Linked DNA regions of Ovis aries. The protein of the gene in region 6 interacts with the protein of the main gene of each other region in a pairwise test. Links are inferred from orthologs where the notes say so. Each region holds a gene or a part of one and is shown on either strand. Other genes may lie near its edges.

Region 1 (4,159 bases), on a different chromosome or scaffold from region 6:
GCAAAGCCAGGACTTGAACCCATGCCTTCTCTCTCTCTGCCTAAAGCTTTTTCTCAAACTGTTCTGTGGGGGTGGGTTGCCATAGCAACAGTTCTGTGGGTGGGAGGATTAAGTATGGGAGGTTGCCATTGTTTTCCCTTCCCACAGATCCCAGAGTCTGTCTGGTTCACTCAACTTTTAAGTAGGGGAGGGAAGTGGCCAAGAGGCAGGGATGACCTTGGCCTCAAGGACAGGCCTGCCCACTCCCTGCAGGAAAGCTGGGTGAGGGGCAGTTGAAGGACACTACTTACAGGGCTTGGACTAGTTCTGCCACAAGTGGCTCCAGGGGAACCCTCTCCCCGCAAATGCCCCACCCCTTGCCCTCCCCAGTGCAGAGTACATAGAGACCAAAGGCACCTTTGCAGGGGAGGGGAAAGGAATGGAGCAGGGCACTTGGGGAACCTCTCCCTGAGCAGGACCAGAAGGCTCCCTCCCTTGTGTCTTTCTTAGGGAGCCTTGGGCCCCAGGCCGGGCTGGGTCAGGAATGCAGAAAGACCCAAACAAAAGAGAAACTTATCCTTTCAAGTTTACCGATAGGTAATCTCCTCCAGGGCTTCCCAGGTGGTGCCAGTGATAAAGAATCCACCTGGCAATGCAGGAGACTGAGGAGTCCCCAGTTCGATCCCTGGGTCAGGAAGATCTCCTGGAGGAGGGCATGGCAACCCACTCCAGTATTCTTGCCTGGAGAATCACATGGACAGAGGAGGCTGGCAGGCTACAGTCCATGGGGTCACAAAGAGTCGGACACGACTGACGTGACTTAGCACACACGCAGTCTCCACCAAAGACAGGAAAGAGTTAAAGCCAGAGAGACCAGCCATGGCTCCTCCCCGTGCGAGCTCAGGCAAGCCCCTCAGCACCTGCAAGCCTGTTTCCTCTGTGAGAGGGGAAAACGATAACTGCTTTTCTCCCTCCAGTGACATAAAAGACATTTAGTGCATCTGGCACAAAGCAGGTCTCAATACTGAAAATGTAAAGTGCAGGCAAATCATCTGAATTCAAAACTTGGCTATACTTTCTACTTTTTGTCTGACTTTGGACAGCTACTTAGCCTCTCTGTGCCTCAGTTTCTTCATCTATAAAATATCCCTTACCTAATAAGTTTCCATGAGAACTAGGAGACTATCTTGTAAAATGTTCAGCATGATTCCTGGCACATGCACTTGGTGAAAGTTAGTTTCCAAAGCAAGACATTCTAAGTTAGCTCTTTCTCTGCCCTAAGCTAAAGTTTGTAGAGTGAGGCAAAGCCAGACCCCTCCCTTAGGTGGGCACAGTTACAACCCTACTGGGGAGAATCTGGCAATAGCTTCCAACCTTCAAGGCCAAATGCACACATGGCATTCAAATCCTTCCCCCAGGGAGCCTTCCCTGACTGCTTTGCCCACGAAACTCTCCTCCCATCCTTTCAGGAAGTCCCAAGACCTCCCTCCCAACGTCTCCCTACATACATACACACACACACACACACACACACACACACACACACACACACACCTCAGCATGGCACATACACCCCTCAGCATCACACACACACACACACACCCCTCAGCATGGCACAGAACTGGGCACAGTGGGGCTCCAGGAAGACCTATTAGCTGACACACTCACTGTGGGCTCCTGGTTCTAGGCCAGAAGGTAGCTGGCAATTCCTCAGTTCCCTAGAATTGGTTGCAAAGTGGTGGCAGGTGTAGATCACCCCCTTCACCGGAACCAGGGCCCTAGGGAGCCTGGGAGGCCCCAACTGCCCTTTTGGCTCTGAATCTAGAGCAGCAGCAACAGGGAAGGGGCTCGGTGCTGGTTTCCTCCTCTTCTCCCCAAGGAAGTGCAGATGAGATGCAAATCTCCAGTGTACTTGGGGGCTGGCAGGAAGGAGACAGGGTCTGAGGAGGTGAGGTCAACACTCTGGTGCTGCTCCTCCGTGTCTGCTAAGCTCCTAGGAACTTTCAAATATTGTCCGTGGGTGTGGGGGATGCTAGGGAAAGAGGATGTTTTTAGTGGCCCTAGTCCAGGCAGTTTTCACGCAAATCGCTTCTGTGCAGAGTGTTGGGGTGGATACTGGAGCCACAGAGGAACAAACCCCGGTCCCAGTTTGGAGGAGGAGAAAAAAACTGTTGCCCTGTAATGGTGGCTAGGGGGAAAGGAGGAGCTAGATTTGTGCCGTCCTAGGTTCTCAGGGCTTCCCAACCCGTACCTCTCCCCTCCCAATTATTTGGCAAAAAAAAAAAACACACACACAACTTACCAAATCCTGCACCTCCCACCCGGAGTCAATACTCCACTCACCCTTGGTGGGGAAGGCAATTAATGAACCCCAAGGATTAAAGATTGATCTGGTAGGAATACTGAGGAGTTAGGCAGGTGGTTTTAACTCCCTCCTCCCCAGCCCAACTCTGGGTACGCGAGTCCATCCTTTCCGGCCCCGCGCTGGAGACTCCGTCCCACTGGCCCGTGCAGCCCCCACTCACCAGCTCCATCCTCAGCGCCATGATCTTGTCCCCCAGGCTGTGGCCCGTGCTAGGGGCCCCGGAGAGCAGCAGAGCGCCAGAGGTTCCTGGCTCCCACTCGCCTCGCAGCCCACGGAGCAGCCCTTCAGGGGTCTTCCTGCCCACCTTGCCCTCCACGTCTCGCAGGTCAGGCGTCTGGGACTCCGCAGTCCCCTCCATGCGGGCCTAAGCCTGAACGGGATTGGGCAACCGGACGCCGGGATCCCGCTCCCGGCGGGGGGGGGGGGGTCCTCCTTTTTCGGCTGCTAGTGCCGGGCGGAACCGGTGGGTCCCCGCCCGCACTCTGTCGCGGAGGGAGGAGGGCGCCGTAACACTCAGAAAAGCGGCGCAGAGCTCGGTATGTGTGTGTTGAGTGTGGATCTTCGGGTGCTGCGCATACACCTCTGGCTCCGGAATGGGTGAGGCTGGGTGATGCTGAGTATGCACCTGAAGGCAACTCAGCGCCTTCTCCCGACTGTGGCGCTGAGTCCAGCCAGGCACTCAGCAGGCGCCCAATGAATGTTTGCTGAAGGAAGGTTAAGCACACTCAGTTAGGGAGGTGGGATTTTAAGGAAGAGTGCTAACAGAGCTACAGAGGGTTTTGGAAGCCTTCTTGGAGTAGATTCTTTCCCATCTAAGCCACCAGGGAAGCCCCTGGAGTAGAGGAGCTGGGTCTAAAACAGTGGCTGGAATTTAACTAGCCACCGACACACACACACACACACACGCACGCACGCACACACACGCACAAGCCACTAAATTTAGACTAAAGGAGAGGAAGTCAAGTTCTTTTGGCCAGTGAGGAGAAAATATTGAAGCTGATGATTCTTATACTGTACATATATGGATTATCTGGGAATCTTGTTAAAATGCAGATTATGATTTTGTAAATCTTGGGTAGGGCCAGAGATTCTGCATTTCTAACAAGCTCCCTGCTGATGGCCATGCGGCTGGTCCAGGGACCACATTTTGAGTAACAGATTTATAAAAGGTGGTTTTAATATGCTTGGATTTTATTCTGTGAGCAATGAGGATCCATAAAAACTTTTTATGCTCTGGCTTGATTTTGGTTTTTAATCCAAGTAATTCTGGTCCATGGCATAAAAGATAGTTACCCTGACCTATCCTTTCCCACATCTAGTTCCACTTCCCAGAGGCAACCACTTTTAGCTATTTTTTCCTGGTGTTTATACTCATAGCTCCACAATAGGCTTTTATCATCATCTCCTGATTTTAAACATTGTCTACTGACCTCCTATTATGATACATAAGATTTACTGCACATTCTATGCTTCCCTCCTTCCATTGGCCCTATTTCTATCATTATTTTTCAGCTTGTTATCTTTGTAACTTTAAGTAACGTACTTTTCTTTAGTATGCTTTGATCCATGAAAGGGTTTTAAATCAGAGACAGACAAAATAGATTTGCCTTTTTTGAAAAAATACTCTGGATTTTGCAAGGAGAATTAAAGGAGTAAATATCTGAAGTCAAGGAGACAAGGTAGAAGGCAAGAAACTAAAATGTCCTGGCCGGGGCTGGTTGTGAAGTTGGAAAAGAATTAGACCTGAATGGAGGAGGAATCTTTAGATGGCATGATGGACAAGACTTGATAACTAGTAACATTTGTTTATCTATA
Region 2 (3,500 bases), on a different chromosome or scaffold from region 6:
CGGCCCAGCCAGACACTGTGGAGGGACAGGGTGATGGAATGGACACTTGAGCTGGAAGTCAGCACTTGGTGCTGCGGCACTCTGCTTTCCCTCCCTGAGATCAGATCCAACTTCGAGTCACTCCGCTATTAAGGCAGGATGGCCCCTGAGAGCCCCTTTGGAGTTCCCCTGGGGTCCCCCAGGCTTCACCAGGCAGCAGTGGGTGACAGGCCTCAAAAGATCTCTAACAGCCCCACTGGATGTGCCCAGACACCCTGGAGATTGGCACAACTAGAAGCCTGCCCTCTGTTGGCAGGACCTGCTCCCTGTTCAGTGCTCATGGCACAGACCCCAGGACCCAGAGACAGAAAAAAGGCACACACCAGGACAAGCAGTATGGCTAAATTCATTTATTCAGAAATAAAAAGTGAAACGAAATAGGAGTCGAATCACCCGGGCACAAACCCGTCCCCGCCTCCACCTTCTCTCTCTACCCTATACTATTAATAAATAAGTTTCCCCAGCCCCAAATATTTAATAGAAGTTCCTCCCCATTCACCAGCTCCAACCTCTGCTGAGATACAGGGGCGCTGCCCTACCTCCAGAATATACAAAATGTTACAGAGTTACAGTATAAACACTGGGGAGGGAGCCCACTCCGCCACCAGCTTATGTTCTTGCTTGGCCTCAATTTGCCCAACTGTCCCAAGGCCTGTGAGAGTGCTGCCCAGTTGTCAAGCTGGGCAAGGAGGGGGCACTTGGCCCCAAAGTGCCTCTGAATAGAGGATGCATGAGCCCCTCTGAAAGGACTGCTTGGTAGGGGTGAGGAAGCCACCAGGGAGCCCCTGCTCCCCAAGAAGGCCCGCCTCTTAAATAAACTGCCTTTAATTGAGCCTCTGGCTCTTTGTTTCTCTCTGGAACTAGTAGCAGTCCAGATATCAAGACACAGCCCTGGCCAAGATGGCAAGGGGCCTGCACCTGTTTGTTTCCCCTCATTTGACGGGGGGCTTATACCCCTTTCTTCAAGGGTTTCAGCGTGCTAGTCTAGGGATGGGGGGGGGGGAGGAAAGAGGGACAAGGAGGCAGGGACAGGTGGGGGCAAAGCCCCCGGCCCCATGTCTGTGGTCTCTGCCTGCCGGTGTCAGGCCACTAGATCACCATGATCTTCACTTCGTCATTGTCGTCAGCTCGGTAGAAGAAGGGGATGCAAGCGTTGCTACCCAAGCCTGGGTGCTCCTGGGGGTTCTGGATCTCACGCAGCAGCTGCATGATCTGCTGCGCGGTGGGGTTTTCAGGGGTGGTCTGGCCCTGCAGGGCCCCCTGGGGGGGCTCCACGTTGTCGGCGAGGCTCACCTCCTGGAGGCCTTTGGGGAGAGAGGGCAGCAGAGCTTAGAGTGGTGTGCCAGCTCACCCCTGCCTGCCCTCCAGTACCCCAAGGGTGCTACTACTCACCACCCTCATTGTCAGCAGTGCTGGGCTCCTGGCAGGTGTGGGGTGCTGTAGTGGGCTCACCAGCAGGTTTCTGGGCAGCCAGGAATTTGCCATACCATTCATTTCGTTCACCCACCAGGCATAAAACCAGTTCCTGGAGCTCCAACAGCTTCACCTGGAGGGAGAAGTACTCAGCAGCCCCGCCGCACCCCACCCCGGCCTGTAGAGACGGGCAGAAGGACCCCTACCTTCATCTCCTCCTTGTCCTGAGCCAGCCGGCTAATGTACTCTTCCTTCTCCTGATGGCGGGCTTTCAGTACGGCCCTCTGACTCTGATAGAGGGCGATATATTCTCCTGCAGGAGGTGGGGAGGGCAGACGTGGCTCAGAGGCAATGTGGTGCTGCCCGCATCCAGCCCCCCGCCCCGGGCCGAGCCTCCCCACTCACCAATAGTGTCCGTCTCTCCAGATAGCTGGATACAGCGATGCTCCAGCTCCTCCACCCGCTCCTTCAGATCTACTTTCTCCTGCATGAGCTCCGTAAAGCGGCCCTAACGCCAGAGGGCAGGGTCAGGGCTCAGCAGCGACCTGCCCACAGGGGCCCCCACCCTTCCTGGACCCCACTGGGGGGCAGCTCACGCACCTGCAGCTTGTCCATGGCCACTTGGAGGGCCTGGTGCGCCTCCGCGGGCACACTGTCTCCCCCAGTCCTGGGGGCGGGGGCCTCCTTTTCCACCCCATCCTGGGCTGCGGCTGCCAGGTTACAGAGGCGCTGGCAGCGTAGCTTCTGCTCCTTCAACTGCCCGCGTAGCCGGGCCTGCTCATCCTCAGCACTGGCCAAGGCCGAGTGGAAAAATTCCACCTGCGGGGGAGAGGGCACACGTGCTTTTGTGGCAGACACACAGGACCAGAGAGGGGTGGGCGGGCAGGCAGAGAGACATGCCTCTTCTCAGGGTCTCGGGGCGCACGCCTGTGGTTGGAGGATGACACGCTGGCTGACCACGGCTCCCAGGGGAGGTTGGGGGACGACCAGAGATGGAGGGAAGAAACCGCAAAGAAGAGTGTCTGAGAGGAACCGCTGGGGATGGGGTAGGGTGGCGGTGGGGGGAGTGAGACAGGCGAGGAGTGGGGAGGTCCGCTCACCAGGGCCTCTCGGCTCTCCAGCTCCTCCGGCACACTCAGCTTAGGCCTTGGAGCCTCCTCATCCTGCTCCTCACTGTCCAGTCCGTCTCCTGTTGGGGACAGACAGGGGGTCTTCAGACCCCCCCAACCACGGAGGCGGAGCAGGCCTGGAAGAAAGCTCAGAGCCCAGCTCTGCCCCCAACCTCACTCTGCAGCCCTGGGCTAGCCAGTGGCCGGGGGAAGAGGACCCACCGTCCCCATGGCCTCATCTAACTCAGGGCTGAAAAACAACTCGGTGCCATGCTGCCAGACGTCCCCCTGCTCCTCAGGCCAGTGTCCTCCCTCCAGGCCTCCCCACTGACCTTCCCCAGGCACAGCCATGATGGTCAGCTGGGCCTGAAGCTGCTGGTTCTGCTGGTTGGCAGCTTCCAGGCGCTCCTAAGGGGCCAGGGAAGAGAGTGAGGAGGGACACAGGCCGCAGGCCTTCCCTCTCAGGGGCCCAGCGTCCCGACGCCCTCACCTGGGTCTCCTGTAACTCCTGGCGGGCCACCTCCATCGCCACCTTGCCCTGGACTTCCTCGTGCTGCAGCCGGTCCATGAGCTGGGTCTGCAGTAGCATCTGCTTGTGCAGCGCCTCCTTCTCCAAGGCCAGCTGCTGGTAGGCGGCCACATGCAGCTGGCAGGCGGCCACGTAATGCTGCAGGTGGTTCAGGTACTCGTCCCGCTGCTGCTGCAGATCTTGAACCTCCTGGCGCTTCACCTCCACCTGCGGGCAGACCCCGGGGGGTGAGGGCAGGGGCGGGGTGATGACCCTGGGGGCTGAGGGCAGGGGGTGGCTTGCTTCCACAGTCTGAGCCCCTGGGCCGGGGAGGCCGGGCACAGACCCCTCAGCCGGAGACGGACACTGCACAGGGCTTTGCCGGTTGCCCGGGTCCCGGCTTCCTCATCCAGAGCCCCGTGCCGCCTTCA
Region 3 (4,132 bases), on a different chromosome or scaffold from region 6:
GACATGAGAACACAGTATCTGAACTTTAGCACAAAGGCTTACTTATGGAGGTCACTTATATAACTACCTTTGACTGCACTTAATGGGAGAAAGTTACATTACATGATCAAATTGAGGAAAAGGTAAAATTCTCAGGACATAAGCTGTCACAATAGCAAAGATCTACCCCATAAACTGAACACTTATGTGTATGGAGTGGCTTACCCTGATCCTTGGGAAACAAATAGTACACTGCAATAATTGCCTTGATGGCAGCACGCACTTGTTCACAGAACCTCTGCGTTTCCTAGGAGATGATAAGCCAATTTCAGAAAGAAAAAAAGAAATGGATTAGATTGATGTGGTCAAGCCATCTACAGGGGAAAAGAGCAGACATCTGTACAGCATCATCAAACATTTTCTGAAGTCCTATTATGCATCAGGCTGTGCTGTTCTCATCACATACCAGGGAGGAGTTAGCTGGATACCAAGTACTGAGCAGAAACTCAGTAAGACAAGAAGAAACTGTAGGAAAAACATCCCTGATACTCTATATCCCAAGATATCTGTGATCAGCTTTGAGGTATTCACCATATCTTAGACCAGGAGTTGGCAAACTAGAGCCCAAGGGCCCAATCAGGCTCACTGCCCGTTTTTGCAAATAAAATGTTTCTAGGACACAGCCACACTCATGCGTTTACAAATTGTCTATAATAGTATTCACACTACAGAGGCAGAGTGGAGTAGCTGGACTGCAAAGCCTAAAATGTTTACTATTTGGCCTTTGACAGAAAAGTTGTCAGCTCTATCTTAGACCATTAACCAGTTGTCTATCTCTCTGCCTCTGTCTCTAACAGAATTTCAGTATACCTAAAGGAAATTAGCATGGACTCTACAATGCTCAATGCTGACTATTTTCCTTCTAGGCAGTCACTGGCTTTCCCTTATCTTCCTTGTCCTCACTGCTCTGCTAAATTCCAAGCCAGTGCTATGCAAAATGTGGTCTACAGATGGTGCCAGTCCATAAATGATCTGTCACCAGTCTGAGATGGATAGGTACAAAGATTGAGAGTACTCAGAAACTTTTACACCAATGTGACATTGTTTCAACATCCAAACATATAATTTTGTAAAAATACCACGTTGTAAGGACTGGAATCAAAAAAAAAAAAAAAATTCTTTGGCAGAATTAATGTGCTGAGATCCTAAGAAAGCAACTGTGATTCAAATATATATAATTCATATAAAGCCATATTTTAATTTTTCATCTACGAATGAAAAAACCACTGTCCTGAGCATGTACAGGGTAATCAAATTGACAAAAATTAAAGACAAAGATAAAATATTAAAAGCAACAAGGGAAAAGTGACAAATAACATACAAGAGAACTCCCATAAGGTTACCAGCTGATTTCTCAACAGAAACTATTATCACTTGTGTAAAAAGCAGCAGCCATATGCACTTAAGTGTGAATATGCATAGCATATATATGGAATGATACAAAAGGAACCAAAGACAGGAGATATAAGCTTTTTAGCACATTTAACTTTGATATCTTTTGAACCTTATACTGTCTACATTATTATATATAAATATAATAATATATAATATATATAATAGCATAAAAATAATTCAGTACAAAAGAGTATTATGTAGTATAATAGAAAAGGTGGAGCTCAAACATCAGATAGAACCTAATTTAAGTCCTAGCTCCACTACTTATCTACCTTAAACTGAGCCTCTGAGCCTGCCTGTTCATCTGTCAGAAAAGGATCATGTATGTGAAAACACTTAGCAAATAGAAAGTATATTTTAAAATGCCAGAAAGGAAATAACCAGGATGGACCTCAGAATGAACCAATATTTAGAAGAGCCATCTACCCCATGACAACTACTGCATTTGACAATTTGATCTTCAGAACAATCCTGTGGAGTGAGAACCTTCACCTTACTCGACAGATGAGGAAATTAAATCCCCAGATTTGAGTGTAAAAGGTGGAAAGAAAATGAGAGGCTTCTTAAGGAATACTGAGCAGCACAAGAATCCTAGAAAAGTGAAGCCCACCTGTGGAGACGGCAGCGGAAGTCGAGAGAAGGCTACGGTCAGAGTCGTGGCTTCCCTTGACACTGTCACAGCTGCCTCATCTGGGGGAGTGACAGAGCAGGCGGCAAGAGCCAATATGTTAGTGCCAAAAGGAAAAGGCTGCAACGGCTGCACGGACCTTGAAGATAATGCGTTCCCTCTCCACCCATGCCCGCTGAGACGTCTCAAAAACACCTCCAAAAATCAGTGTTTTATATTTCAACCTCGGAGATACCAAGGATAGGTAAGGAGTATCCCCGCAGAGAGGCTGGGGCGGGGGGGAAGCAGGAAGGAAAGGAGTAGGGAAGAGATGAGAGACAGCAGTCTCCAATAGGAGAGGCACTCACTGAGTCTTCTCCAAAAGGCCTCCCGATCAAACTCCTTGGTGGTTTCCTGGGCTTCGCCGACTAGTGGGTGCGGGGTGTGCGCCGGACGGCGACAAACGAAAGAGCACAGGTAAGCGGAACGACCTCCCGGACCCACCTCCTCTGCCCGGACCCGGCGCCGCGGCCGCCAAGGCCTGGCTCCTTCCCACCCAAGCCCGCCCCTGCGGTCACCCGGCCTCACTAAGTCAGCTCACCCCGCACTCCAGGAAGCAACTGCCGCAGCTCCCCGGCTAGGTGCCGAAGCTGTTCCAGAGGCGGATCCAGGGTGGGGTCTGGGGCTGCAGATACAGCTGCGCTCTCCATCCCAGTACCGCGTTTGGAGCCAGCGGACCAAGCCCCCACAACAGCTTCCGGAGCCGCACCGCTGTCGCAGCTCCTCTTCCAGGCCACGGTTTCGCTTCCGGCAACAACCTGCCCCGCCTCGGAAGCCCAGCCACACCCCTTCCGCTCTCAAAAGCCCCGCCTCGCTCCCGCTCCTAGCGACACAGGCAAGACCCAGACCGAGTTGTTTCTTATTCATTTATTGGTATTTGATTAGTTGAAAACACCCCCGACTGAGGAAGCAGAGAGCCCATAATCCTGTCGAAAAAAGGACTAGGAACTAAACAAGGGTAGTCAGGGTCAGGTCCAAGTTTGCACGTTCCCTGTCCCTAAAGTGGCCTCCTTACAGGCTGCCAAGTTCCAGACACTGTGCTAGGTACTTTACATGAGGTATCTAAAAAACACACTGAGTGGGCCTCAGATACTCCCTTATCCACCAGCCCCTGCCCTGTGGATCTCCTAGATAAAAGCTTTCTCTTCACAAAAGTAAATCAACCCTTTACCTTCTTGAGGAAGGGAGGAATCACGGCATTATATAGTTTTCTGCAGTCCATTCTGCAAGAATCAGTAGTAGGTAATTCCCCCCAACTCCCAGGTGTCCAAGGAACAGCAGCTCCCTGATGTTTGCCCATCAATACTGGCCTTTTACCTGCTGCTGAGGCAGAGGCCTGGGCTACAGAGGTGGATGAGGAGATACAGACTTCAGGAGCTCAAATGGCTTTTTAACTGCACTATGAAGGTTCCAAGCTTAGCAGAGTTCACTGTCCAAACACAACGAATGAGAACAGGTGTCGCCAGTGTCAACCAGGTCCGTAAAGGGGAGAATAAAAAAGCTAGAGTGCCATATGTCACGTGAAGAAAGTAGCAGGAATAAATATGCCAGATGTACAGCAGTAACATAAGTAGGTGAACAGGTATAATTTTCAAGTATTTTCCTTGATGGAGATGAGACCTGAAGCTGTGACCAAAGCACCGCTGCAGCAAAATCCAACACAGGTAACCCATCAAGGGGATGTTAAAAAACACCAGCTGGAAAGAACAGAACAGAACCATTAGCTTATTAAGCCCTGGTGGGGTCAGGTCTCACTAACATATTATTGGTGGCTCCTAAAAATATGTTGCTTGCTCTCTTGGGGGTTAACTGATACTTTATACTTTAATCACACTTGTGTCCTTAGTTGTTTATTTGCCTGCATCCTTTTGTTCATCTTAAAGGCAAGTGTCATTTCATTTCTGTTGAAGCTCTCAAATGTTTAAGGTAGAAATGAATACATATGTCTATGTACAAACACACACACACATACATATATATACAGTACTTTTTTTGGGGGGGTAGCGTGAGGGGGGAACTTGGATATCAATA
Region 4 (3,500 bases), on a different chromosome or scaffold from region 6:
CACGGGGGTCAAACAAGTTCCCCTAATCTTTATCCACCACACTCATCCTTTTTTAAAAACAAAAAAAAATTTTTTTTAATTTTTTTCTTTGGGTTTGTACAAGAAATTTACAATGTGAAAAATATACAAGTGAAAAACGAGGCCAAAAACCTGGGTGTGGGGAGGGGCCACTTGGTCACAAACACAAATAAACATTTCTGAGTTCTTCCTTTGGTCTGACTACAGCCCCCTCTCCCCAGGAGAGGGGCTGCAGAGCTGGGACCTGGAGATCAGACCCCAGTCCCAGCCCTGTCCCCCAAAATGGGCAGGGTTGGGGGCAGGCACATCTGGAGCAGCTGGCGCTATCTGGCTCACTCTGGCTTTGGGATGGTGGGGAGCATGTGGAGATGAGGGAGCCCCTTCCTTTTCCAAGCCCCCTGGCTGAACAGGCTGGGAGTGCTGGGGGTGTGTGGGGTTGGCAGAGTAGCAATGGCAGTATTTGGGGAGTGAATGAAATAGGTGGAGTGAGTAGGAGCCTTTGTGTAACAGTGGACACAGGGACCTTCAGGGAGTCTGATCCAAGTCATCGGGCAGCCCTGAGTCCTTGGCAGAGGCCCAGAGGCCTGCACCCCAGGGACTAAAGGCCCTTGGGCCCTCAGACTCTGGGACCCTCGGGGGATCTGAGGCTGCTGCCTGCTTTCAGTAGACCTCCATGCAGAGGCGGGTGCTAAGGCCCTAGATTTCGGTGGCAGTGATCTCCTCCAGGCAGATGCAGGGCGCTGGCTCCGCCAGGCCCAGGTCCGCGAGTTCCCGGGCCTCCAGCTCCAGACTGAGCTGCTGCAGCTCCTGCTCCAGCTGCCGGTTACGTCGGTACATCTGGATGTAGTTGTGCTGCAGCTGCTTCTGGTAGCGGATCACCTGCTCCTTCTCTGCCTGCCAGGCCAGCCGCTCCCCCTCGAAGCTGTCCCGCTGCTCCTCGCCTCGCCGCCGCTCCCGCTGTAGCTCCGCCCGGAGCCGCTCCACCTGGGCCCGTAGGCTGCCCCCGACCCCGGCGGCGGCCCGTTGTGCCTTGGCCTCATCACTCTCTGCCAGGAGGAATGGGTCAGCAGCGGCAGGTGGCACAGGGGGTTCCCGGAGTCCGGCGGCCTCACTGTCCAACTGCCCAGCTTTCTCCCGCAGCCGCTCAGCCTCTTGACGGTGCCGCTGCAGCTCCTGGGAACAGGCCTCCAGCTCCAGCTCCCGTGTTCGGGCCGCCTCCTGGAGGCCCCGTGCCCGGCCCTCACTGACCCGAAGCGCTGCCCGGGCCTCCCGCAGTGCCACGCGCAGGGCCACCAGCTCGCTGCCCTTCTGTACCAGCTCTGCCTGAGATTCCTTCAGTTGCTGCTTCAGCAGGGAGATCTCACCTGACTTCTGGCACACCTAGGGGTAGGAGACAGTTGGAAAAGATGGTGAGAAGGTTCTCCCAGGTGGCCAGGCCCTGACATCAAGCTGGGCATTTGGGGAGAGGCAGTTTGATCACTGTACCTATTTTACAGATGAAGACACTGAGGCAGCTATTCATTGGCTAAGGTGGAATATAGACCCAGATCTTATTCTGGTTTCAAAGCTGGGGTCTTTAAACCATCATGAAACACCAGCTTCATGCGGGTTTGGCAGGAGTGGAAGCAGCAAAGGGCAGTGGCTGCATTTCCAGTTGGGAGGCACAACAGTATCTTGGTGGAAAGCATAGATGCTAACTAGAGCCGGACTGCCTGGGTTCAGATCTCAGCTCCGCCACTGTGTGTGGAGTGTGATCTCAGGCTCCATCCCTTCTGGGTCTCCTTTGCCTCACCGACGAAATGAGGGTGTGAACAGCACCCAATTCACAGGGTTATTACAAGGATTAGACGATACTCTACGTTACATGCTTCGAGTAGCAGTACCTGTCAAGGAGTAAGCACTACATTCTCATTCTTACCATTGGTGGGAAGGCAGTGGATGGGAATGTCACTGGCTACCTGAGCACTTAGAGCAGAGCCATGAGGAGAACGAACGTGGAGGCCCCCAAGGAGACCCCTACCCAGAAAGGGAGGTCAGAGGGCGGAGCCTCATCTCACAAAGGTGAGCAAGGGGAGGCCCTCTGGGGATGGCAGGTGAAGGGATGTGGCTGGGCCCCTCCTTTCAAGCCTTACCCCCTCACTGAAGGCCCTGCTCCCTGCTCCTCCTGGTACAGCTCACCTCCCACTTGGTCTCCTCTAGCCGTGGCCCGAGCTCCCGTTGCTCCCGCTCGAAGGCGGCGCAGCGCCGCTCCAGCTGCTCACGTTCCTGCAGCAGCTGCGCAAAGTCGTCCTGCAGCTGCCGCTTCTCCTGCTGCAGCTGGAACACCTGAAGCTGCAGCAGCTGTTGGGCCCGCTGGGCCCGGGCCACACCATCCTCTCGCAGAGCCTCTCGCTCACGGGGCCAGTGCCGTTGCCGCTCCTCGTACACCTGCGGGCGAGAGGGCAGGCCTGGGTCCTGGAGGCTCCCCCACACCTCGAACCCTGGCCACCCCCAGCACCCCAGTCACCAACTGCCCTGGTGGCCCACTGTCCTGGGCTCAGGGAAGGTGGATTCAACAGTGACAATAACTAGGATACCAACAGTAACAACTACTTTTATGAAAAGACAACAATAGCAAGCGTGTGGGACTTCCCAGGTGCCAGGCATTGATCTAAGCACTTTACACCCTTTTCCCTGCTTAATCCTTAATGATAACCCTCAGGTCAGGAATATCCCCATTTATGGTGAGGAAACTGAGGCTCAGTACAACTGAGTAACGTGCTCAAGTCTGAAAGACAGTATATGGTGGTGCCGTGTTAACCACTCTACAGTTTAAGCCAGACAGCTGGGGTGGGGATGGGGGTCACCAGCCCAACACCTGCCTCTTGACAGACAGAAATGCATCTTGTATGCCCAGCACCTGTGGATGTCCTGCCATGCCACCCCCATCACTGCCACTGACCACACCTGGCACATGGTCACCTCACTCTCGTCCAGACTGTCCCGCAGCTGCTGCAGCTCTGCCTCCCGGTCTCGGAGCTTTCCTTCCAGGACACAGTGCAGCAGGGCCTCGTCCGAAGGGGGTGGAGGGGGTGGGGGCGGTGGTGGGGAGCGTTCCCCACAAGAGCTGCTGTCAGGGGAGGCCCGGGGACCGCTGCCCAAGAGCCCCCCAGCCATGCGACCCCCCAGGGAGCCTGTGCTCTTGCTGGAGGAAGATCGGCCGCTGTCTGAGTGGGAGGGCCCGGTGGGGGCTCCTCGGGCTGGCCCCGGCAGGACGCCCCGCCCAGGACCGTGGGAGGGCAGGTGCCCGCCTGGGGAGTTGGTAGCCGGCTCGGCACCCCCGGTGCTGTAAGTGGGCAAGCTGGACAATGAGTTTCGGCCAGAGTCAGACAGAGTCCCCGATGGGCAGCCGCTGGCCCAGCCACTCAGTATCAGGGGTTTGTCGGCAGCCGAGGAGGAGGAGGAAGAGGAGGAGGAGGCCGGGCCCCCGAACAGCTGCGTTA
Region 5 (2,605 bases), on a different chromosome or scaffold from region 6:
CTATGGCCTCCTGCCTCTAGAAAATTTTCCTTTTACTGCCTGAGGCGTCCCAGTGTCCCTTTTTATTTTTATTTTCTTGGCTGTGCTGCTGTGGGATCTTAATTCCCAACCAGGGGTCAAACCTGTGCCCCGTACGTTGGAAGCCCCGAGTCTTAACTGCTGGACCGCAGGGAAGTCCCCCAGTGCTCCTTTGTAACGTCCGTCCTGCCTTCTGTCCTCCCCAGCAGAGCCTGGAGGTAGACTTCCTCTCAGTGTGTGGGGGTAGGTAGAGGCCATGCCATGTTCATTATGTGTTCCTGTGTGTGTAGGGAGGGGGGTTACAGAGAAGGGGTTGTAGGACTGGGTAGGAGACCAGCTGCTCTTGAGGTCACCACAGGGTCATGGGGTGCATGCCTGTCATGGGTGTGTATGGCTCCGGCTGTGGTTGTGCATGCACGCTCATGCACACACGATTAGCAGGGGTTGCGGGCTCCTTTCTGAGTGAAGTGCTGCCCTGCCCGGAACCCTCCGCCCACCCCGCCCTGACGAGGAGGCCTCCCTTTGTGTCCCCCTTGCAGGCTACATCCAGAAGATTAAGTCTGGAGAGGAGGACTTTGAATCTCTGGCCTCACAGTTCAGCGACTGCAGCTCCGCCAAGGCCAGGGGAGACCTGGGTGCCTTCAGCAGAGGTGCGCAAAGAATGGGCACCCCTGAACCCCAGCAAGACCCTCTGACCCACTGGCACCTGCACCCCACCTAGAGGGATGGCCCGTGTCACACTGTCCCCTGGGGTCCACCAGGTGGCAGCAGAGTCCCTTCCTCAGGCTGCAGAGTCTTCTCCCCGGTGGTGGCATTTCTCTCGGGGTGGGGCATCCATCTGTGTGTGTCTCTGCTCAGTTGTCCCCATCACAGACCCACCAAGGTGGGTGCCTGCTGCCATTTCCCTCTCTTCCTGTTGAGGTGCAAAGCTGGGGCCCCTAAGAGTCCCAGAGCACATCCCCCAGAATCCTCTGCCCACCCTCCTGGGTGGAGAAACCAGGAGTGAGGGGAGGAGGGGGTCAGATCAGCAACCCTGCCAAGTTCAGGCCTCTCCACCTGGGACTGTGGGAAGGGAGGAGCAGAGGGAACCAGGCCGCCGCCGCCTCCCCCCTTCGTCCTGGGGTCTCTAGAGCATCAAGGAAGGGCCCAAAATAGGCTGAGGGGTGTTTGGGAGCCAGCAAGGGGCTGTGGGCCAGGGAGACCAGCTCCTCGGTAAAGCTCCTCTCTCAGTGCACAGAGGAGACAGCCACTGTGCCTCGTTCTTCATGCTGTCCTCAGCTTCCTGGGGCCTCCCTAATAGCCTTGCCACCCCCAGCTGCGCCCAGCTCAGGCGCCGTGGCAGGGCCGGAAAGTGCATGACGGATGAGTCAGAATGAGGGCCCTGGGGGCGCAGTGGGAGCCCCGTCTGCCCAGTCCCACCTGCAGGTCTGGACCCCACCCGCCACCTCTCCTGCTTCCTCCCCCAGGTCAGATGCAGAAGCCATTTGAAGACGCCTCCTTCGCGCTGCGGACAGGGGAGATGAGCGGGCCCGTGTTCACAGATTCGGGCATCCACATCATCCTTCGCACGGAGTGAGGGGTGTGGATGGCCCAGGCCTGGCCCCCTGGGGGAGACAGGTGGGACGGGGTGGCTGGGCCCGCAGACTCCGCTCCCTGCTGCCGGCCAACCAGTGGGGACCCCTCCCTTCTGTCACACAGTATTTATTGATCCCAGAATGGCTGGGAGGGGCCCCTTCACCACCGGGTGCTCCCTGTCCGCTCCTATTGGGGCTGTCCCTGCTAGACTCCCCTCCCCTTTAGGAATCGACTTCAGAAGGGCACAGGGTGGAGAGGCTCCCTGGGCTCCCAGGGCCAGGGTTGGGGGTGACCTGTCCCAAAGAGAAGGCCTAATTAGCTGAGCTGCCCCTGTGCCACCCCAGGTCCAGGATGGGGTCAGGTGGGCCTTGAGTTGTTGCTGGTTGGGCCGTGTTCCTCTGTTCAGTTGTAAAAAGCAGACGCTCTGCGTGGGGCCCAGGCTGCTGGCTGCTATGGGGCCTCTAAGCAGCCATGCAGCGCCTTCCCCACCCTTGATTAAACCTGGAACCACTGCTCTGCTGTCTGGCATTTCATTTCCCACCCCCAGGGCAGCGATCATCTCCCACCACCCCTGGTGTCAGGTGTCCAGGCCATGTTCCCTCCCTGGGAAGCTGCTCCTTTCCCTGGGCCTGGGGTGCTTCATAGCAGCAGCAGACTCTCAGGGAAGTGGAACAACCGCGGTCCTCAAACTTGGGTGTTCAGGAATGTTCCAGAATGCAAGGGCCCTGACCGCACAGCTCTGGGTTCAGCAGGTCAGGTGGAACAGGAGAATCCTCAGGGAACCCAAGTGAAGTCCCCGTTCACCCTTGGTGCTCTCGGTGCCGTGCCCCCCCAAACACACCCCACTTCAGTTGGAACAAAATACTCCCAACACTCCGATGCCCACTCCCCTGTCACCGTAAGCATTCTGCCAGGACCCGGGCACCTCTGCAGATGCTAATTCCATGGCAACGGGGGCCAGTGAGAGGGCACTGCCAGATGTCTCTGAGAGCAGGGGTCCTGCCCAGCCTTC
Region 6 (3,870 bases):
CCTCTCCTGGCCCCTTGCTGGCTGCCGTACTCCTGAGCTGCCTGGAGGTTCCTGCCTGGGCGGGGCTGGGCCTCCCCATCCTCTGCCCTGCGTCCATCCCAGTGGGTAAGGCACCATTCTGCCCCCCTTCTGGGAACAACAGCTCTTGTGCCCAGGCTGCCAGGAAGCCACTTAGGGGAAAACAGTCTTCTGAGCCTTAAAGCTCGTTTCCTGCCTCAGGTTGTGCCCCCAGGATCCACACAGGGCCTGCCACACCTCCAGCCTGACTGGCGGGCCTGGGGGTGGCGGGTGGGTGGACAGGCTCGGTCGAGGGGCGCTCACCTGGAGGCACAGGAAGTTCGGCAACGGCCTGAGTGAGGGGGGCCTCGGCCAGCCTGGGGGCTTGGGGATCACCGCGACTGCAGGGTCGAGCCCTCTAGCGGGCTATAGCCAGTCGGGGGAGATGGACGTGGTACCCAGGGGGCGGGGCCCCAACGCTCCGCTGAGCCAGAGAGCAGGGCTTCTTTTGAGGATCCCCTTTATTGTGGCAGACACGGCTCAGGGCAGCTCCCTGTCCAGGTGGCCCCTCAGGCCATGCTGCTGCTCAGCTGCATGGCAAAGTCCTGCACGTGCTCCTTCAGCGTCTGCCGGGCGTCGGCCTGGGCCCGCTTCTCCCGCGCTCGCTCCTGCTGCAGCTTGGTCAGCCGCAGCCGCAGCCGCTGCTCCCGCCGCTTGCAGGCCTGCAGCTGGCGCTGGGCCTTGTCCAGGGCATCCAGGGCGGCCTCGGCCCGCCGCTTCCAGAGCAGGGCGCTGCCCACCTGGTAGCTGTGCTCGCTCTGGATGTAGGCGCCGGCGGGCGGCGGGAGGCGCAGCATGTAGGCCGAGGGCGAGGCGGGCCGCGGCTCCAGGGGGGACGGCTGGCGCTCTGGGGAGGGCTGGGCGCTGCAGCCCGCCTCATCTGCCTGGGCGCCCAGGGGCCCCAGAAGGTCGGAGAAGGGGCTGCTGAGGCCAGGCTCCAGCCTCCCGGCTGGGGAGGCAGACAAGACCGCAGGTGCTGAGGCTTCTTCCACAGGAAAGCAGGCGACGTCAGCAGGTGGAGGAGGGGAAAATGGAGCGGTGGGCCCCGGGCCCTCAGAGCAGCTGGGAGGAGACAAACAGACTGACACGCCGGGCCAGGCGCAGCGCGCCCTGACCCGCTTCACAGCCCCGCTCACCCCCATCCCTGAGCCCACTCCACAGGCTCCCAGCCGCGCCCAGGAAGGCTGCTGGCCAGCACCCTGCAGGCCGGTCCCTCCGGGGCTGTACAGCGGGACAGCACGTACCGTTTCCTGCATCGCCGCAGGCGGCTGACTTCTGGGGGGCCCGGCGGGTAACCGTGCCGCTTGGTCTTGGTCCGGCGCAACTTCGAGAAAGACTCAAATATGGTTGGAACTGCTCCCTCCTTCAGCCTGTGATACCCACTGCGGGGAGAGTGGTCTGGATGAGACGGAACACAGTCCTGCCACACTGCAGGCGGCAGAGCAGCCTGCCACCCTGGCTCCGTAGGAAGTGGGAGGCAGCGTGCCGACAATGAGTTCAGGGAGTTTCCCAAGTTAAGGGCCCCCCCACCACCGGAGCAGCAGGCAGAAGGACGGGTTTCTTCCGCGCCTTTGCTGGGAGGGCTGGGGCTGCAGGGAGCGCGCTCCGCCTGTGGCCAGTGCGGCAGGCGTGGGGCTAGGGTCTCGCTGCCCAGGTCCGCCTGGAGCGGAAGCTGAGGTGACGAGGTGGGAAGCACCAGACCTGCTACTCCGGCGGCCTCCCCACCGGCCACCCGCCCCATGTTCACGCCCTCCCGACCGCCGGCTGCCAGGAGGCTCACCTTATTCCCACCAACTCGAAGCAGTTCTCCTCGAAGTGCTTGGAGCAGAAGTAGATGTACTCGGACGCCGGGTCCCACAGGCCCTGCCCGCTCGGGTCCAGTCGCTGGCAGTTGGCCAGCCACAAACCCCGCCTCGGGTTGTCCTTCTTGGGAAGCCTGCGGGGGCCGCGAGCCCGTGAGCGCGACGGGAAGGTGCGCCCGGCTCATACCGCCCGCGGACCTCCTGCGAACCCAGCCCGCGCGCTCCCGGGGAGACAGGCCCGCCCGGCATCCTCGCGCAGCGCAGGCGCCGCCCCCGCCCGCTGCGCGCCCCGCCAGAGCCCCGCCCCCGGCGCGAAGGCGCGTGCGCGGCGGCGGGGCGGGCGCATGCGCAAGCGGCCCTGCGCGCCGACCTGTGGAAGGAGATGCCGCGGTTGCGCGTCTCGCGCGTGTCCCGTGTGCAGCAGCCGGCGGCGGAGCAGTGACGCGGCATCTGGGGCAGAGGCGGGCGCTCGGTCTCAGCGGCCGCCGGGGTCCAGGCCGCCGCCCCGCTCCGGCGGCCGCGGCCTGGAGAGTCTCCCCGGCCCGACCTCGCCGAGTCCCGCCCCAGCCCGCTCTTCCGACTCCTGTCTGCGGCACTCACGGTCTCGCCATTGCGGCGCCGCCGAGGTCTCGCGAGGTTTGCCGAGCCGCGGAAGTCGGGACCATAGAGACGCGGAAGCGCGCGGCGCTCGCTGAGGGGCGGGCCCCGGAAGCGGCGGGAGGGGCCGCGGGCCTCGCCCAGGCCGCCCGCATCCGGGTGGTGCCGGCAGCGGGGATTGCCCTGGGCTGGGGGTGGCTCCAGCGCCGCTGCTCCGGGGCGCGCGATGCGGGCCCCGATCCGCAGACCCGCTCGGGTCCGCTTCCTGCCCCGAGGAGCTCGCTGACCCGACGTGTGTAGGTGGAGCGCGCGTCCCGGTTCCGCCCCCGCTCCTTCCCGGGTTAACGCGCCCGGTGACGCTCGGCAGAGTCAGACAGACGTGCGGCTCTGCCGCCACACTGCCGTGGGGAGGAACACCGTTTCCCGCAAAGCAATACACAGATGATGCTCAACACAAAAACTTTAATAGGGAAACATCTGTGAAGGGGCCGTCGGGGGACCGGGTGCAGGGCTGCGGCCGCGCCCCCCCCTCAGTACTCCTCCCCTTCCTCGGCCTCCGCCTCCACCGAGTCCACGCCCACCTCCTCGTAATCCTTCTCCAGCGCCGCCAGGTCTTCCCGGGCCTCCGAGAACTCGCCCTCCTCCATGCCCTCCCCCACGTACCAGTGCACGAAGGCGCGCTTGGCGTACATGAGGTCGAACTTGTGGTCCAGGCGGGCCCAGGCCTCGGCGATGGCCGTGGTGTTGCTCAGCATGCACACGGCCCGCTGCACCTTGGCCAGGTCTCCCCCCGGGACCACCGTGGGGGGCTGGTAGTTGATGCCCACCTGCCGGAGAAAGAGAACATGCTCAACTTGGGAGTGAGGCCTCGGAAATGGTAGCTCGTTTCTAAGCATGGGGGCCATGGACCCACTTCAGACGACGCCCTGTAGGAACGGGTACTCTCTTTTTCGGCAGGATCTGGCAGTTTAATATCCCACGTTTTCACTTCTAGAAGGGACTTGAGCTTTTCAGCCTTCTGCATGACTAAAATATCTTGCCACATACACACTTTTATAATGAGAAAACCTAATACAAACGTGGGGAAAGATTCCAGGAAAATGGTGACAGACGGTCGTCAACACGTGACGCCACACCCAGACTCACAAGTGAGGATTCGACACCGTCGGGGTGAACTGTCTTCCGTGGGGACAGCAGTGTGACCTCCTGTACCTCCCCAGACTGGCCTCCCCTCTGGCTCACAGACCGGCCAGGAGGGGAAGCCTGGGCAGTGCCAGGCACCCCACACAGCGCTGCCCAGCTGACAACGGCTTGGGTGGCAGCCTTGCCTTCCAAAAGTCAAAGTAAGGGCACTGAAAGGAAACTTCCTCAAACCAAGAATGGAAGAAAAAAGACGTCCCTGGTGGTCCAGCCG

The links.
Region 1: the proteins of THAP7 (region 6) and LURAP1 interact in a two-hybrid assay, tested with the Homo sapiens proteins (2 studies listed by BioGRID and IntAct). The two-hybrid records come from large-scale screens. The link is inferred for Ovis aries from reciprocal best matches to the Homo sapiens genes THAP7 and LURAP1.
Region 2: the proteins of THAP7 (region 6) and GOLGA2 interact in binary tests that used the Homo sapiens proteins (3 or more experiments, as listed by UniProt). The two-hybrid records come from large-scale screens. The link is inferred for Ovis aries from reciprocal best matches to the Homo sapiens genes THAP7 and GOLGA2.
Region 3: the proteins of THAP7 (region 6) and CCNDBP1 interact in binary tests that used the Homo sapiens proteins (3 or more experiments, as listed by UniProt). The two-hybrid records come from large-scale screens. The link is inferred for Ovis aries from reciprocal best matches to the Homo sapiens genes THAP7 and CCNDBP1.
Region 4: the proteins of THAP7 (region 6) and LZTS2 interact in binary tests that used the Homo sapiens proteins (3 or more experiments, as listed by UniProt). The two-hybrid records come from large-scale screens. The link is inferred for Ovis aries from reciprocal best matches to the Homo sapiens genes THAP7 and LZTS2.
Region 5: the proteins of THAP7 (region 6) and PIN1 interact in binary tests that used the Homo sapiens proteins (3 or more experiments, as listed by UniProt). The two-hybrid records come from large-scale screens. The link is inferred for Ovis aries from reciprocal best matches to the Homo sapiens genes THAP7 and PIN1.

The regions. Positions count from the first base shown.
Region 1 is NC_056054.1:20,793,500-20,797,658, reverse strand, and holds the start of LURAP1 (leucine rich adaptor protein 1), read right to left. Parts: upstream 2,801-4,159; 5' UTR 2,703-2,800; coding exon 2,505-2,702; exon of another isoform or gene 2,499-2,504; intron 1-2,498. UniProt on the Homo sapiens protein: Acts as an activator of the canonical NF-kappa-B pathway and drive the production of pro-inflammatory cytokines. Promotes the antigen (Ag)-presenting and priming function of dendritic cells via the canonical NF-kappa-B pathway.
Region 2 is NC_056056.1:8,025,803-8,029,302, reverse strand, and holds the end of GOLGA2 (golgin subfamily A member 2), read right to left. Parts: intron 3,298-3,500; coding exon 3,052-3,297; intron 2,970-3,051; coding exon 2,894-2,969; intron 2,642-2,893; coding exon 2,553-2,641; intron 2,272-2,552; coding exon 2,053-2,271; intron 1,961-2,052; coding exon 1,858-1,960; intron 1,766-1,857; coding exon 1,659-1,765; intron 1,586-1,658; coding exon 1,432-1,585; intron 1,344-1,431; coding exon 1,129-1,343; 3' UTR 375-1,128; downstream 1-374. UniProt on the Homo sapiens protein: Peripheral membrane component of the cis-Golgi stack that acts as a membrane skeleton that maintains the structure of the Golgi apparatus, and as a vesicle thether that facilitates vesicle fusion to the Golgi membrane.
Region 3 is NC_056060.1:36,639,191-36,643,322, reverse strand, and holds the start of CCNDBP1 (cyclin-D1-binding protein 1), read right to left. Parts: upstream 2,801-4,132; 5' UTR 2,752-2,800; coding exon 2,643-2,751; intron 2,470-2,642; coding exon 2,410-2,469; intron 2,125-2,409; coding exon 2,045-2,124; intron 287-2,044; coding exon 205-286; intron 1-204. Other genes in the region: TMEM62 (transmembrane protein 62), read right to left, coding at 3,472-3,798. UniProt on the Homo sapiens protein: May negatively regulate cell cycle progression. May act at least in part via inhibition of the cyclin-D1/CDK4 complex, thereby preventing phosphorylation of RB1 and blocking E2F-dependent transcription.
Region 4 is NC_056075.1:21,603,285-21,606,784, reverse strand, and holds the end of LZTS2 (leucine zipper putative tumor suppressor 2), read right to left. Parts: coding exon 2,965-3,500; intron 2,446-2,964; coding exon 2,197-2,445; intron 1,399-2,196; coding exon 715-1,398; 3' UTR 49-714; downstream 1-48. UniProt on the Homo sapiens protein: Negative regulator of katanin-mediated microtubule severing and release from the centrosome. Required for central spindle formation and the completion of cytokinesis.
Region 5 is NC_056058.1:12,295,884-12,298,488, forward strand, and holds the end of PIN1 (peptidyl-prolyl cis-trans isomerase NIMA-interacting 1), read left to right. Parts: intron 1-557; coding exon 558-668; intron 669-1,484; coding exon 1,485-1,594; 3' UTR 1,595-2,105; downstream 2,106-2,605. UniProt on the Homo sapiens protein: Peptidyl-prolyl cis/trans isomerase (PPIase) that binds to and isomerizes specific phosphorylated Ser/Thr-Pro (pSer/Thr-Pro) motifs.
Region 6 is NC_056070.1:72,373,248-72,377,117, forward strand, and holds THAP7 (THAP domain-containing protein 7), read right to left. Parts: upstream 2,500-3,870; 5' UTR 2,460-2,499; intron 2,310-2,459; coding exon 2,230-2,309; intron 1,994-2,229; coding exon 1,838-1,993; intron 1,440-1,837; coding exon 1,302-1,439; intron 1,120-1,301; coding exon 567-1,119; 3' UTR 501-566; downstream 1-500. Other genes in the region: tubulin alpha-3 chain, read right to left, coding at 2,987-3,283. UniProt on the Homo sapiens protein: Chromatin-associated, histone tail-binding protein that represses transcription via recruitment of HDAC3 and nuclear hormone receptor corepressors.